Tamandua tetradactyla: one gene and its partner. The protein of the gene in region 1 binds, or shares a complex with, the protein of each later gene. Links are inferred from orthologs where the notes say so. Each region holds a gene or a part of one and is shown on either strand. Other genes may lie near its edges.

What was found. The genes of interacting proteins can lie anywhere in the genome.
Region 2: the proteins of SLC9A1 (region 1) and CHP2 are in contact, whole or in part, in a crystal structure (PDB 2BEC), measured with the Homo sapiens proteins. The link is inferred for Tamandua tetradactyla from reciprocal best matches to the Homo sapiens genes SLC9A1 and CHP2. Residues at the interface, in NP_003038.2 of Homo sapiens: Ser517, Ile518, Asn519, Glu520, Ile522, His523, Thr524, Gln525, Phe526, Leu527, Asp528, His529, Leu530, Leu531, Thr532, Gly533, Ile534, Glu535, Asp536, Ile537, Cys538, Gly539, His540; in NP_071380.1 of Homo sapiens: Arg30, Arg34, Leu38, Leu51, Ile54, Ala56, Leu57, Asn60, Pro61, Leu62, Ile66, Phe70, Phe83, Leu87, Phe90, Tyr118, Ala119, Leu122, Tyr123, Met136, Val139, Leu140, Met143, Ile156, Arg159, Thr160, Glu163, Ala164, Phe177, Ser180.

Annotation. Positions count from the first base shown.
Region 1 is NC_135328.1:199,116,614-199,124,121, forward strand, and holds the start of SLC9A1 (sodium/hydrogen exchanger 1), read left to right. Parts: upstream 1-4,413; 5' UTR 4,414-5,259; coding exon 5,260-5,611; intron 5,612-7,508. UniProt on the Homo sapiens protein: Electroneutral Na(+) /H(+) antiporter that extrudes Na(+) in exchange for external protons driven by the inward sodium ion chemical gradient, protecting cells from acidification that occurs from metabolism.
Region 2 is NC_135349.1:33,319,258-33,327,004, reverse strand, and holds the start of CHP2 (calcineurin B homologous protein 2), read left to right. Parts: upstream 1-4,720; 5' UTR 4,721-4,971; coding exon 4,972-5,038; intron 5,039-5,683; coding exon 5,684-5,756; intron 5,757-5,854; coding exon 5,855-5,935; intron 5,936-6,064; coding exon 6,065-6,195; intron 6,196-6,380; coding exon 6,381-6,442; intron 6,443-7,061; coding exon 7,062-7,184; intron 7,185-7,389; coding exon 7,390-7,443; 3' UTR 7,444-7,747. UniProt on the Homo sapiens protein: Functions as an integral cofactor in cell pH regulation by controlling plasma membrane-type Na(+)/H(+) exchange activity.

The sequences.
Region 1 (7,508 bases):
GCCTCAGACGAGTGGCTGTCCTCGGTGCCTGGGCTTCCTCATCTGCAAATCATGCATCCTGTTATTTATCCCTTCAACAAATATTTACTGAGTGCCTGCTATGCATTGGGTGTTGTTCTAGGTGCTGGAAAAGCAGACAGGACAGACATGCCCCTTGACCTCCCAGAATCACATCCTAGAGGGTAAACAGCAGACAATAAATATAATAAACAGGTAAGTTATGCAGTATATGAGGTGACAAGAGCTGTGGAAAAAGCATAAAAGAGGACCGGGCAGTGGGGCTGGAAGAGGGGGGTCGTGGTGGTAGCTGGGCAGGGGAAGCACCACTCTGAGACAGGATTATCACATTGTAGGCCTCGTTGAGAAGAGAGATGTGTGGAGGGTGGGCCACGGTGTCTCAGCAGGCAAGAATGCTCACCTGCCATGCCAGAGGACCCGGGTTCGATTCCCAGTGCCTGCCCATGTTAAAAAAAAAAAAAGAGAGAGAGAGATGTGTGGAAAGGCTTGAAGGATGTAAGGGAATGAGCCGGGTGCCCATCTGGGGAAGTGTTCCAGGTAGTGGGAACAGCAGGTGTTAAGGGCCTGAAGCAGCAGCGTGCCTGGCAGTGCAAAATAACAAGGAGTCAGTGTGGATGGAGTGGAGTGATGGAAGGGGAGAATGTCCTTGTTGGGCTGTGTTACTCTAACAAAGGAAAGAAGGAAACAAATTCAGTTACTGAGTGCCAACAACGTGTCGGCAACCGTGCCTGACATATACCGGTCATTTACTAACAGCCTCACGAGGTGGGTATTATGGCACCTTCCATACCCATGAACAATCTGAGGAACAGGAACAAGATGTGACTTACCTAAGAAGTGGCCAAGCGATCCTTTCTTCATCATGCCTTCCCTGCCACGCATCTGTACACCTCATAGCTATAGCAAGTCCCTAAAATGCCCAGGACTTTTAGTCAAGGGATTCATCAAAGGGTGCAGGAGGACAGACATGGCTAAGCACCTGGAGAGGCCAGCAGGGCCCAGGCACCCCGAGTGGCCCAAGATCTGCAGAGGGAGAGTCTGCAGAGACGTGGCCTCTCCCAGTCAAGAGCAGTGCGGGCCTGGAATGGTTAAAAAAAGAATGAGGACCTGCTACAAGAGGGTGACAAATATTGCAGTTTATTTTAACGGATTACCTTTAACAAGCTTATGCTTTTAACACACACAAATTCTCAGCAACATAATTTATTTAAACATTTTAAATTCATAGCATATCTCAGGTGGTGCGGTCTGATGGGAGGACCAGTCTCACAGACAAGAGGCTCTTCTTTCTAGCCTGTCAGCATGTTGCTGTGACTGAATGTGTGACTTCATGTGGCCCTAACGCCAAGGTTTACATTTGCGGCCCTTGCTGCATGTGAGTAGTGATGATGTGAGTGTGTGCGGTGCTTGCTGGGCACGGCTCTAAGTGCTTTACGTATATTAGCAAATATCGTCCTCACAGCCCCATGAGGCTGGCACGATTGCTGCCCACACATTATGGAGGAATAATCCAAGGGTCAGGGAGGTTGACTGATTCGTCTGAGGTCTTAACTAGTAAGCGGTGGTAATGGGATTTGAACCTATACAGTTTGGCTCCCAGCCCCTGAATGTTCAACTGTTATGCTACATGATCTCGCCTGGGCTGGGCCTTGGCCAAAGGTGGCTCCAAGTGGCTTCTCCTTAGGGCTCTTTCCTGGTGTTGTCAGGTTGTCATAAACTCCAGGCTGTGGAGGCATTTCCTGGTTCTCATGGGATCCGTTACCTCCAGGCTGGCACAAAAAGACTCACTGAGGAGTTTCAGAGGAGTTAGAGAGTAGGAGGGATCAGTACGTACCAGTGAATGCTGCCCTCGAGACTAGAAAGGACTGTGGGTCTTGGAATTCTGCCCCATCGTACCTGTGGAAAATCTGTATCCTGGCCACACCTTTTCCCTGTGTTCCTTCTTCTATGCTGAGCTTGTTGGTGTTTTGAAAGAGCACCGGACTCAGATGTCAGAACCCTGACTTAAGTCCTGGACTTGCTGCCTTGGGCTATGTGACCTTGGGCAAACTGCTTCACGTCTCTGAGCTGTGGTTTTTTCATCTGTAAAATGAGAATGAGAATAACTGCTAGTATTTATTGAGCTCTCACTATGCACCAGGGCTTGGATCATTGCTATACCTGGGGGACTTGTTTGTGAACTATGAAAGGCTTAACAATTGCAAGGCATTATTGTCGCTATTCTGGTCCTTGCTTAGATGCCATTCCTCTCTTTGATTACTTCCATTACAGCTGATGTTCTCTTTTCATCTGTTCCCAGGTGACACAGGGACCCTCGTCTTCCCTGAAGGCCCTTCTAGGCTCTTCCATCATCTCCGTGATAGCTGAGCCTATGCCAGGAGAATGTGAAGTACAGAGAACTTGCTTCAGTGTTGTCACCCTCAGTCATGGTCACATTACTCTTATTATTTAAATATATCTTTTTGCTTGTGGTGGGTTAGCAAACTTAGAGAAAAGTGCACCCACGAGGGCCTGCATGTTCAAAGAGTTATCACAAAACAACTACATCTATGTAACCTTTGTAAAAAATTAGTAGCACATCAGAAGTCCTCACAGTCTACCCCTTCCTTTGTGCCACTTCCCAATCACTACTTCTTCCTTCCGCCCCAAAGCTAATCATTATCTTTACATCCAACATCATAGTTTCCCTAATTTTGTACTTTATGCAATTACACAGTATTTAGAATTTTATGTTTAGTGTTTTTCACTCAACTTTGTTTGTGAAAGTCATTCATGTTGTTGTTTAGCAATAGCACATTCATTTTTGTTGCTATATAGCATTCTATCACATGAATACACCTCAATTTATTTACTGCCATTGTTGGCTATTTGGGTTATTTTCAGTTTTGGCCATTATGAATACTGCTGCTATGGACATTGTTATACCCACTGCCTTTTGTGTACATAAATATGCGTTATCTTATTTATTTGCTTCTTAATGCATATCAATATTTTTTCTTATCCATTTGTTTAATTTATTATCTCTCTCCCTCCAGTGGAGCATCAGTTCCATGAAAGCAGGGACCCTGTCTGTCTTGTTCATGGCGGTATGCCCAGTACTTAGCACCTGACACAAAGAAGGTGCTCAGTAGAATAAATATTTGAAGATAACGGAAACTGACATATGCCTAGCACTTTGACTTCATGGAGTGCTTTCACATACACTTTAGTTCTCACTAGAATCCATTTTGACTTAGATATTGTTAGTGTCATCACCCCCATTTTATGGATGAAGAAATAGGCTCAAAAAGGTGATATGACTTGCTGAAGATCATTCATCAGGCAACAGTTAACTAGATTTGAACCTATCTTAATCTGACAACAAATCCAGTAATCTTTCCACTGTATGCTGTTGCCTTACGAGATTGGAGAAGCCCAGGATTGAAATCCAGAACCACAGAAGATGGTAGAAGCAACCTCCTAAGAGTGCAGTTTATTTTCTACTTTCTGAAGTCCTAGAGTAGTGGAAAGAAGATCCAATGGAAAATTAGGACACTGGGCACTGTATAAACTGAGGGCAAAAACCATGTCATTCATCTCTATTTTGGCAGAGCACAGCCAAGGCTTATCACAAGATACCCAATAAATGTTGGACAAGCTGAATCAAATCCCTGTGAAATCACTCGTGACTTTGAACTAGTCACTTTGACTTCTTGGCCTCAATGTACTCTTCTGCAAAACAGGGACAGCATTTCAGTAGTTTAGTAGTTCTCTGTCCTCACACATGTAAGCTGTACATTAGAATCGCCCAAGGATCTTTGAAAAAAATACCCATGCCTGGGCACTCTCCTGAAGCAGTTTAATCCAAACCTCTAAAGATGGGTTTCCAGCAACACCACTTAAAAAAAACTTTCTAGTGATTAAGTACTGCCAATCAACACCACAGATTCAAACCTCGCTCTACAACCTACATTCTAGCTAAGGAACACTCTGTGCCTCAGTTTTCTCCTAGTAATGGTCTGGTGTGCCATTCTAGATACTTGATCTCATTTAGTCATCACGGTATCCTGGTACAGGTGCTACTACTACCTCCACTTTACAGATGAGAAAGCTGTGGAACATGTTCAGAAACTTGCTCAGGGTCACATGGTAACTAAATATTTAAGATAATAATATGTCTTTCACAGGATTATTGATAAGCCTTCATGAGCCCGCGGATGTGGAGGTGAAAGCGCTTTTTAAATAGTAAATCACTTTACTTTTTTTGCCTCTTGACTCTTCTTGCTCTTCCCACGTGATACTTCCTTCCCTCGGCGAAAGGGGCCGCTGTGCTGCGCGGGCGCTGACAGGTCGCTCTAGCCGCGGGCTCCGGTAGCTCGGTGGTGCCTATAAGAGGCGGCGCCGGGCTCAGCGCGGAATCAGTCTGCTGCCACCCGGGCTGAGGTTGTGGCTGGGATTAGGACTGGACCTGGACGCGGACGACCTGCCGCCGGGCCGTGGCGGAGCGCAGCGACGTCCAGGGGCCGCAAGAAGGGGCGTGTTGTCGCCGGCCCACCACCAGCCGCCCCCAGCCCGCGCCGAGGCGCCCTGCTGCCGGGCTGCCTTCCTCCGCCTTCCGCCTCCCTCCATTTCCCCGGAATCTCAGCCCAGCGCCTCGACCCCAGCCCTTCTCTGGGTGGGGAGCACCCGGCCGCTTTCCGGCTTCATTCCTTCCTGGCAGCTTGGACTCCCAGCGTCCTCTCTCCGTATTCCTGGCCTGGGTCCCATCCTCCCTGGTCCCCTTCCTTTAGCCTGGGCTCCCTACCCCTTTCCTTATTCCACAGTCCCAGCTCCTCAGTCACTTTCCTCAGCCAAGGGTCGCAGTCTTCCTTCTTCCTATCACTTGCCTGGGGTCCAGCCACCCCAGTCCCCTGCTCTGGCTCCAGGGCTCAGACTCCTCCCCTCCCCCTCTCTTTTCCAGGCCTAAGGTTCCACACCTTTGTCTCCTCCTGCAATCCTTCCTGGGTCCTTGTCCCTCTTCTCCATTTTGGAGTTCCAGTTCTCGGTCTCAAATCTTGGGGTTCCCACCTATTGCGACCCCCCCCCCCCACCTCTTTCCACCCCAGAGGACTGCTTCCACGAAAGTACTTCTCTAGAACATGAACTTTTCCTAGAGACTCTTCCAGTCTCTCTTCTGGCATTCGGACCCCTTCCTACCCATGTCCCACGTCTTACTCTCCCTTTGCTAAAGGTAGAGGCCCACTGGGCCCAGGGAGCAGGACGATGCCTCTGTGGCGTGGCATCAGTGGCCCCTCTCCACCACGGATCTTCCCTTCGTTTCTCATGGTGGTAGCCTTGGTGGGACTGCTACCTGTCCTCAGGAGCCATGGCCTCCAGCCCAGCCCCACTGCCAGCACCATCCGGGGCTCCGAGCCACCCCGGGAGCGCTCTATCGGGGATGTCACCACCGCCCCACCTGAGGTCACCCCGGAGAGCCGCCCTGTTAACCATTCCGTCACTGACCACAGCACGAAGACACGAAAGGCCTTTCCAGTCCTGGGTATCGACTACCCACACGTGCGCATACCCTTTGAGATCTCCCTGTGGATCCTGCTGGCCTGCCTCATGAAGATAGGTAAGTCCAGTTGGCTCTCATGCCACCACCACCACCTGACTGGCTTACCATTTGGGGCTGCCCAGGAATAAGGGTCCTGGATCATGGGCAGCCTCCATCCTGCTATCTTGGTCCTTCTCAAACTTTAGCTTTGTGGCCTCTGAGGTTTTGAGGCCTGCTAAGAATGGAAATCAGCATCTTGTGTGGGAGAGAGCAGGCAGGATGAGAGGATGGCCCCCACTGATATTAGGTACCTTCAGCAGGACTTCCAGGCCTGACAAGTCTTCCCCTGGCTGGGCCAGACCCCTTGGGAGCCAGACACCCAGATGTGTGTGAGACTCAGAAGTTTCTTCCAGCAAGAGGCACATTCTGCTTTGTGGACAGCAACTGGTGCAATTACATGCTTCATGGTAGAGTGGCCCAGGACAGAGAATAGCCCTCTCTACTTGACCTGTCTGAGGCCTGTCCTGTATAGCAGGAGCCCTGGGTGCTGGAGATTATAAGTGGGGTGGAACATGAGAGATTCTCAGATTCTCACATTCCTTTATCCCCAGAATGCTATCTGTCAGGTTTACCTGTCCAGGCTGGTTAGGAGTCCCTGAGTCAGTTTCCTGCCCAGGAATGCCATGCTTTATACAGTTTATGGGACAGGGACCCTAGACATTTCTGAGGCTTATTTTGAGGATGGAGGGAGAGCGGAGGAAGTTGCAGCTTGGTCTGGACCTAACTCACCTCCAGGTTAGCACCTGGCTGTGTCTTATGTGCCATCTGAGCTGTCCAGTCACATTGGCTTTCTGTCCGTCCAAGTAGAAGAGGTATAGGTGAAAGGGCTAGGGTGTTCTGGTCTGAAGAGACTTTGAAATGCCCTTTTTGGGGCAAAGGAGCAGAAAAGTTGTTCCCTCCCATAGGGGTGGTTTCCCTTCTAGGCCTGAGCATCCTGTCCTACTGGGTGGTCGATGGAGCTGACCAGAACCTGCATAGCTCAGAAGTCCCAATCCTTAGTCGTGGTGTCCAGGCTGGCTTTGATTGTTGCCTTTGCTTTTTTCAGTCCCCAGCGAACTGTGGAAGACACAGAGACATGGGTCTCTGCTCCCCTCTTTGCCTAAGGTTGGGTTTGGGGTGTTTATGACTCTTGGCACCTTTCCCAAGGACATGCAGAAGCTGAGTGGCTGTGCCAGTCAGGCTCTGGGACATGCTGCAGAAGGGCACTGGTGCCTGGCACTCTCACTGAATCTTGACAGATCCAGGATCTGGCTTCCTGGTGCCGAGCCGGTCACAGTGGCAGGGCTGGGCATGGAGCTGGGCTGCCAGTACCTACACACTGGTGGCAGCTGTGCTTCCTGGAAGAGTCAAGGACTGGGCAAAGAGAGCCATGTGTACTGATTCTGATACAATTTTGTGACCTTAAACAAGCTAGGGCCTTTTTCAGCTGGTCTCTCCCACCTGTGAAATGGGCAGGACTCTCTAGATTTGACCATACCAGTTGAGACCATGAGTCTTACCTTGTTGTAAAAAACTGAAGTCACTGTAATGTGTCATTTGCCTGTGTGAGACCAGAAGAGACCTTGCAATTGCTGTCTATAAACTGCCCTCCTCTCTCCAGCTCCCTCACCTCTGGACCCACACCTGGCATTGTGTTAAGGGCATTGGGGACTGGCACACAATGCAGGTCTCTCTCAGTGCCGGCTGACGGAATGAGAGCATAGCACAAAGATCCATTTTGGGCTGTTGGTAGTTATCCCTACAAGCCTCATGGTATCTTTAGTTCTAATTGGCCTGGCCTTCGTCACCACAGAGTACTGAGCCCAGGACCCTGGGCTGCTGGATGGCACAGATGCAGCCATGGCAAGGGTATTAATCTAGAAATCTGGAAAGCTGGCTGCTCATCCTGCCTTACTGTGACCTTGGGCCAGTCAGG
Region 2 (7,747 bases), on another chromosome or scaffold:
CCATTAACTCTAATTTATGAATATTATATTGACTCTTATTACCGAACCCACTTTCTTTACTTAGCTGGAAAATTATACTCATGATTTCCCCTCAGCTTCAGCAGCCACTACTTCTCAGGCTCCTTTGCCAATCCTTTCTCATCTTCCCAACTTCTCAACATTGGATTGTCCCCAGTGCTTAGTCCTGGAAACTCTTCACTTTTTCTCTTCACATCCTAGATAATGTTGTCTTGCCATACACTGATGACTTCTGTATTATTCAGGGTTCTAAAGAGAAACAGAACTGACAGGATCTATATTAAGAGATTCATTATTTGAATTGGCTCACATGACTGTGGGCATTGGCCAAAGTCCAATTTCTATAGGGAAGTCCACAAGTTGGGAACTTGATACTGACATTAAATTCCCCACGAGAATCTGCAAGTTGGGAACTTTGGTGAAGATGGTGATGAAATCCCCAGAAGAACCCAGGGGCTGAGGTAGAGAGAGAAATTCTTCTTCTTGACTGCTGAGATAATCAGTCCTCCTTAAAATTGCTGAAGGCAATCTCCTTTGTTGATTGTAGATGTAATCAGCCATAGATGCAATCAACTGACTAATGATTTAAATCCATGAAATACCATCAAAGTGACAAGCAGGCCAGTGCTTGTTTGGCCAAATGACTGGACACCATAACTTAGCCAAGCTGATACATGAAATTAACCATCACAACCCCCAAGTGTACAGCCCTGTCAATTCATCAAGATTATATAATTATAAACATATATGCACCAAACAACAGAACCCCAAAACACATGAAGCAAACATTGACAGATTGAAGGTAGAAACAGTTGTACCAATAGTTGGATACTTCAATATGCCCCTTTCAATCTTGGATAGAACATCTAGATGGAAAATAAATAAGGAAATAGAGGACTTGAAGCACATTATAAATATACCACACCTAACAGACATATATAGAACATCTGACAAACCAGATTACATTTTTTTCTCAAGTGCACATGGAACAGTCTCCAGAATAAATCATATGTTAAGCAACAGAACAAGTCGTGATATATTTTAAAAGATTAAAATCATACAAAATATGGAATGAAGCTAGACATCAATAATGGAAGGAAAATCAGAAATTTCACAAATACATGGAAATTAAGCAACACAGTTTATTTCTATTTTTATTTTTTTTTACATGGGCAGGAACCAGGAACCAAATCCAGGTCTCCGGCATGGTAGGAGAGAACTCTGCCACTGAGCCACTGTTGCCCGCCCAACAACACAGTTTTAAACCACCAATGAGCCAATGAAGAAATCACAAAAGAAATTAGAAAATATGTTGAGATGAATGAAAACAAAAGTACAACATACCAAATGTGAGGCTCTCACACCAATGTCTCTTTTGAATTCCGCATTCTTGTATCCAGGTAACTACTTAATATGTTTAGTAGGATGCATAACTTATAGCCCAACTAAAGCCTTTTTTATTTCTTCCCTTGAAATGTGCTCCTTTTCCTTTTTTTTGTTTGTTTGTTTTTTAACCATCTTGGCAAATGGCATTTACCAGTTGTTTAGGATAAAATTTTGGAGTCATTCTTTACTTCCGTCTTTCTCTTACACCCTACATCTGGTACATCAGCAAATTTTATGGACTCTTCTTTCAAAATCGAACCTAAATTTGACTACTTCTCACCACCACCGCTGCTGGCAACCTGGTCCAAGCCAGCGACATCTTTCATCTAGATAATTGCAATAGTTTCCCCCCTTGCCCCAAAAGTTATTCACAGCAGTTAGGGCAATTTTTGTGATGTTGATAAAACAGAAATTGGATCATCTCATGCTCCAGCTTGAAACTCTACAATTGTGTTCTATCACAGATAAAATAAAATTCATAATCTAAAGCCCTGCGAGATAGGGCTCTGCTCGAAATTCATGACCTGTCTCCTTACAGCCTTGACCATATGAAAAATGAAAATAGTCTCCCATTTTATTTTACATTTTAAACTTGTGAGATTGAGGATCTTTTTATGCCTACTGACTGTTTCTATTTCACATCTTATCCCAACTTTTTCTATTGGTTTAGTGTCCTTTTGATTTTTAAGAGATCTTTGTACTCCTCCCTTGCCTGTTATATGGACTTCAAATATTTTACTGACTTTGTCTTTTCGTTTGTATGTATACAAAGTCTTTAATTTAAAAAATTTTACATAGTCAAATTTATCCATCTTTTCTTTATGGTTTCTGTGCATGTTTAGAAAGACTTTCTCCAGTTCAAAATTATAACAAAATCTAACCAAAATTTTTTCTAGCATTGTATAATTTCATTTTGCATTTAAATCTTTGTTCTATCTGGAATTTATTTTGGGTATAAGAAGTTAGGGGTATAGCTTTTTCTTTTCCCTGAAAGACAGATGTCCCAAATGACATTTATTGAATAATCTACATTTCTCCCCACTAATTTCAAATGTCATATTTATCACATGGCAAATTCCCATATGTACTTGTGTCTATTTCTGACTTTCTTGTCTATTTCTTATCTGTCTCTTCCTGTACCACCACCACATAGCTCGTTGTAGCTTTGTAAAATAAATAAAATTTAAAAATCTGTTAGGGTAATTTCACCCTCGTTAAGTTTACTTCCCAGAGCTTTCCTGGCTATTCTTGTACGTTCATTTCCCCAGCCGATTCTCAGTATTGCTTTGTCAAGGATGGCTGGCAATTTTTAGGTAGCTTAAAAACAAAACACAAACATTCTGCCTGAATCCAGTTTAACAGATTCTACTATGAAATTCTCTCCAAAGCATCGTCTACTTTAAAACCTGAAAAGATGTGGCCACATATATTATGGCGTCAATTTAAGTCCCACTTATGTGCATGAAGCAGAAATGGGTTCTAAAGAGTGCTCCACCATCCTGTACTCTTCTGTGGGCTTCAGTACCGTGTGCAGATGAGAGCTGTTTATTCTTCTCTGACCTAATTTGCTTTCGTGGAGAGCTCCTTGCAGAGCAAGGCTGGAGAAGGTCTTTCCAAGATCAGAATCCCAAGCTGGCCTGAGGTGATTATTGCAGCTTCCCAGGGACTCCTATCCCCTCCTGAGTTCAGAATCTAACCCAAACTGCACTCACAGCCATGGACTGCAGTGATTATCAGGCTTCATTAGGGAGGAGGCCAGTTTCCCCGCATGCTTTAGTCCTTGGGGGTGTCAGAAAGAGGAGAAAGCACTTCTTAGATCAATATCTTCAAGGCTCATCTGATGCAAGCCTTTGCCTGAGGCTGGAGGATTCACTGTGTCTCCAGCTTCTCTCTCTCCAGGGGGACATGAACTTAATCCTTGTAAAGAACTGCCTGCATTTTTTTCCCCTTGGAAGTCTGTGCATGTGTGTGATTATGGTGGGGGAAGATGAAGGTAGATTGAAACCTGGACACTGTGGAGCTTATTCCTTTACAACTGAGTTTTTTAGTCTTTTCTTCATCAACACTGCCTTCCCCACCCCCAGGAGCCTTTTTAGACTTTTGTTTTTCTTAATTGCCCCTCTCCGTGAAATTTTAAACCTCCGTATATATTCTATATCTGGTTATGTATGGTATGTGCATCTGTGCTTTATACAGGAAAAAGCATGTGATTTTTTTGCCCCCCACTCCACCCGGGGGACTATATAGCCCCCCTGGAGAACACCTGCTTTACAATAGTTCACAACTTGCCTCCTGGGCAGCTTCCACCAAGCGAAAGTGGGAAGGTGCAGCGATTCCATCCGCTCAGGAGTTGGACTCTGTTGGCTGGCTCCTGGCCGTGGGTAAATTACTTCACTACTCCGAGATTGTTTCCTTGGTGGCAAAAAATGGACATCGTAGTAATTCCTCCCTCTCTGGCCTGGTGGGAGGAATGTGAGTGATAACGCACACGGAGTCCTTCGCCTGGTGGGGTGAGTGCAGGATGAACTAAGGCACTCGTGGCTGTCATCATTTAGGCCAGGCCACAGCGCTCCCTGTGCCCTCTCCCAGGCTGTGGATCGCAAAGGTGCTTCAGGACCCGACGGAGGTCGGAGTCATTTCCAGCCGGGAGCTTCCAGTGGAGGGCCACGAGGTGCATACGGGAGCGAATTGGGGTTGCGGGGACCCTGGGCGATTGTCCCCATTTAAACCGGCAGCTGCCCCCCGGCTGCAACCATGTTCCTGCAAGCAGGAATGGGGGTCTAGTAAAATCTCTGGATTTTCAAGTATTGGCTCAATTAAACAATAACGCTGTGTGGGCCAAACTAAAGAGACCAGGAAACCAAGATTAAGTGGCTTGTCCAGAGTTAGGAGCATAGCTGGTCTCCAAATCCAGGGCTCTTTACACTTAGCCCAGCTCTTAACCTGCACCTCACCTCTTTTTGGGAGTCCTTCAGCGCTCCACCTCTCTCCAAATCAGCTCAGGCTGGGGCCATCCGGGTTTGGGGTAAATGCACCCGGCTCCCCTCCCCACCCTCCATCTCCTTCCCCCAGCAGGGCTCGGTGTTTGTCTCGAGAGGGTGAGGAAGGTCGGGACCTCCCAGACTTCCTCAACGGGAAAGCTAGAGAGCTCACCGACGCGGGGGAGAGCCCTGGGCTGGAAGGGATGGGGGCCGGGGGGCGGGGGCGGGGAGGAGGAGAACGCCCGGGTGTCTGGGCGGGAGCGTGAGAATGCAGGCCCCCGGGAGGGCGTGGGGAAGGCGGGGCGCCAGCCTCGCCCAGCCTCCCCCGGCGCCGACCTCAGAATCTCCGGGCTGAAATAACCCGTTGTCTGCACCCGCCCCTCTGACCTCGCCGCCTGGGCATTGTTTTCTATTCGCCCCTTGTCGTGGGTGGGAGGCAAGGAACGCCGGGGTTCACGAGCCTGGCTGCCCGCCAAACCCTTGGCCTTCGGCCCCGAGGCCACTGGGGCGGCAGTGCCTCTTCTGCGGGAGGAGAGAACTCCTGGGGCCCGCCCGCTGCCCTGACCCTCCCGGCCCCAGCTCCGCCATGGGCTCCGGTAGCTCCCACGCCGCGAGCATTCCCGACGTGGACAACATTCGGCGCGAGACCGGCTGTGAGTGGCGCGCCCCGGCGCAGGCGTCCCGGCTGCGAGGGCTGGAGCAGGGGCACCCGGTCCAAGCCAGGCGGCGGGGAGCGGGGGGCCTGAGGGGGCTGAAGGCAGGACCCCGGTGTAGGGGCCCTCATTTAGGGTTGTGTCGAGCGATGGGCGGATCTAGAAGTCTGGGGGTCCGCACCCCGGGGAGCTGGAGCCCCGAGGTCCAAGGGAGCTAGTGGCGCCTGAACCCAGGCGTCTCGCCGTCGGGGTGGAGGAGGGTCGGGATTCACGGTTGAGGGATCAGATTAATCGAGGCAGCCAGGGATCTCGAGCCCGGATCCAGACTAGAGGCAGAGTCAGGACGGCAAGTGGAGGAGGCTGACTTCGGTCCCTTGAGTCCCCGGGAGGGGAGTGGCGGGAGGCAGCGAGCCGCCGCAGGTCTCGAACCTGCTCTGCCCTGGGTTTCTGCGCGCAGCCTCCAACCCCGCCAGCCCCCGCCCCCGGCTTTCCGGGTTGAACGCCCCCTCCAGCAAACCCCTCTACGCGCCGCCCACCTCGCGGGGCTGCCGGGAGAGAAATTCTTGAGCGCGCCCCGCGGCTCTCTTGTCCGGCCGCGTCCGGAGCGTCCTTGGCGCTGTCACCCGTTTGCTTTCCCTCTCGCAGTCTCGCAAGCCAGTCTGCTCCGTCTCTACCACCGATTCCGGGCCCTGGATAAGGACAAGAAGGGTTACCTGAGGTGAGGGGGAACTGATCCGATGACCTCTGATCGCTGACTCCCTGACTCCATCCCCCTCTTTGACCCTCCATCTACTGCTTCGAACTTAAACTTTGCAGTCGCATGGATCTTCAGCGAATTGGGGCGTTGGCCGTGAACCCCCTGGGAGACCGCATCATAGACAGCTTCTTCCCTGATGGGTGAGCCTCGCCGGCGGTGGGAGCTGAAGGTGGAAAACCCTTTGTGTATGCGTGTGTGTCGGGAAGGAGGTAGGAAGCGGAGGAAGAGAGAAGGACCAAGGTGACCACTCCACTCCATCCCACCCCCAGGAATCAGCGTGTGGATTTCCCAGGTTTTGTCAGAGTCTTGGCTCATTTTCGACCTGTGGATGATGAGGATGCAGGAAACCGGGACCCCAGAGCACCTGAACCCCTCAACAGCAGAATGAATAAACTTCGCTGTGAGTTTGTGGTGAACCACCCACAAGAGACCCCAGATTTTTCCACATCAGCAAGAGGCCCCAGGAACCTTCCATTTCCATTGTGAGCCTAGAGTTTGCCCTCCCCCACTCCTTCAGGGAGACCTTCTCCTGGGAGAGAACCAGGGAAGATCCATCTTCTTTCCCCCCCTCCACTCTCTTCCCAGTTGCCTTTCAGCTCTATGACCAGGATCGCGATGGAAAGATCTCTAGGCATGAGATGCTACAGGTTGGAAGAATACAAGGGCAGGAAATGTGATGTGTGGAGGCTGAGATGGTCGAATGGATGGTTGTGGAGGGCAGATGGTGGGAGAGGGGTGGATGGGAGGTGCAGATGCCTGGGGTACTGGGTGAGGAGTGGGGATGGGTGATGTTAGTGTGGGTTTATTGGGAGATAGAGTGGGGAATAGTTGGGTGTGAGGTTGGGAGCAGATTAGTGGTTCTCAACTGGGGTAATTTTGCCCCCTAAACGGTATTTGGCAGTATCTGGAGACATTTTGGTTGTCACAATTGGAGTGGATATTGTGTTACTGGCATTTTGTGGGTAGAGGTCAGGAATGCTGCTAAACATCCTGCAATATACAGGGACAGCCTCTCACAACAAGGAGTTATCTGGCCCCAAATCTGAATGTGCCTAGGCTGAGAAACTCTGAAATAGATGTTGTGATGAAGTGGGAGATGGAATTGGAAATAGTTACAGATGAGATGGTGAATGGGGTGGAGGATGGATGAGGGATGGATATGAACTTGGTAATCACTTTCGAGGGTTTATGGGAGCAAGGTTTTGGCGATGATGGGAGTAGCCTTTCTGCCTCCTTTTTATTGCTGCCTCTTCTCCAAACTCCTAGGTTCTCCGACTGATGGTAGGAGTGCAGGTGACAGAAGAGCAGTTGGAGAGCATTGCTGACCGCACGGTGCAGGAGGCTGATGAAGATGGGGATGGGGCTGTGTCCTTCCTGGAGTTCACCAAGGTCAGAATGCCCTTAGGATCTGGGGAGATGAGATAAGGAGCCTTAAGTCAAATGGACGTAGGAGATGAAGTTCAAAGGACGTTGGCAGAAAGATTGGAGTTCCCAGGGAATAGTGGGGTTTCTGGATGGGTAGAACTCTGGGGGAGGAGGTTGGAAACAGAGGATTGAGATTCAAGCCTCTTGATGACCACTCCTCTCCTTCCAGTCCTTAGAGAAGATGAATATCGAGCAAAAGATGAGCATCCGGATCTTGAAGTGACTCTCTTTGTGCCTTTGCCGAGCTCCTGATGACCGGCATGTGCTTTTCAGCCCCATGGAGACAGGACCCCAATAAATTCTATTATTACTTCTAGATTGAACTCTATTCGGGGCAAAGGAGAGAAAGCTAGAAGGGTGTGTACTAAAGTCTGATTGATTTGATCTCAGGTCTCTGATTAGTCAGGAATTTTTTGGTTTCAGGGGATGGAAAACCCACATCAAAGTGGCTTAAATAAAAAAGGGATTTTATGGGCTCATGTGATTAAAAAGTCTGGAAGTATTTGACCTCAGGTACAGCTGGATCC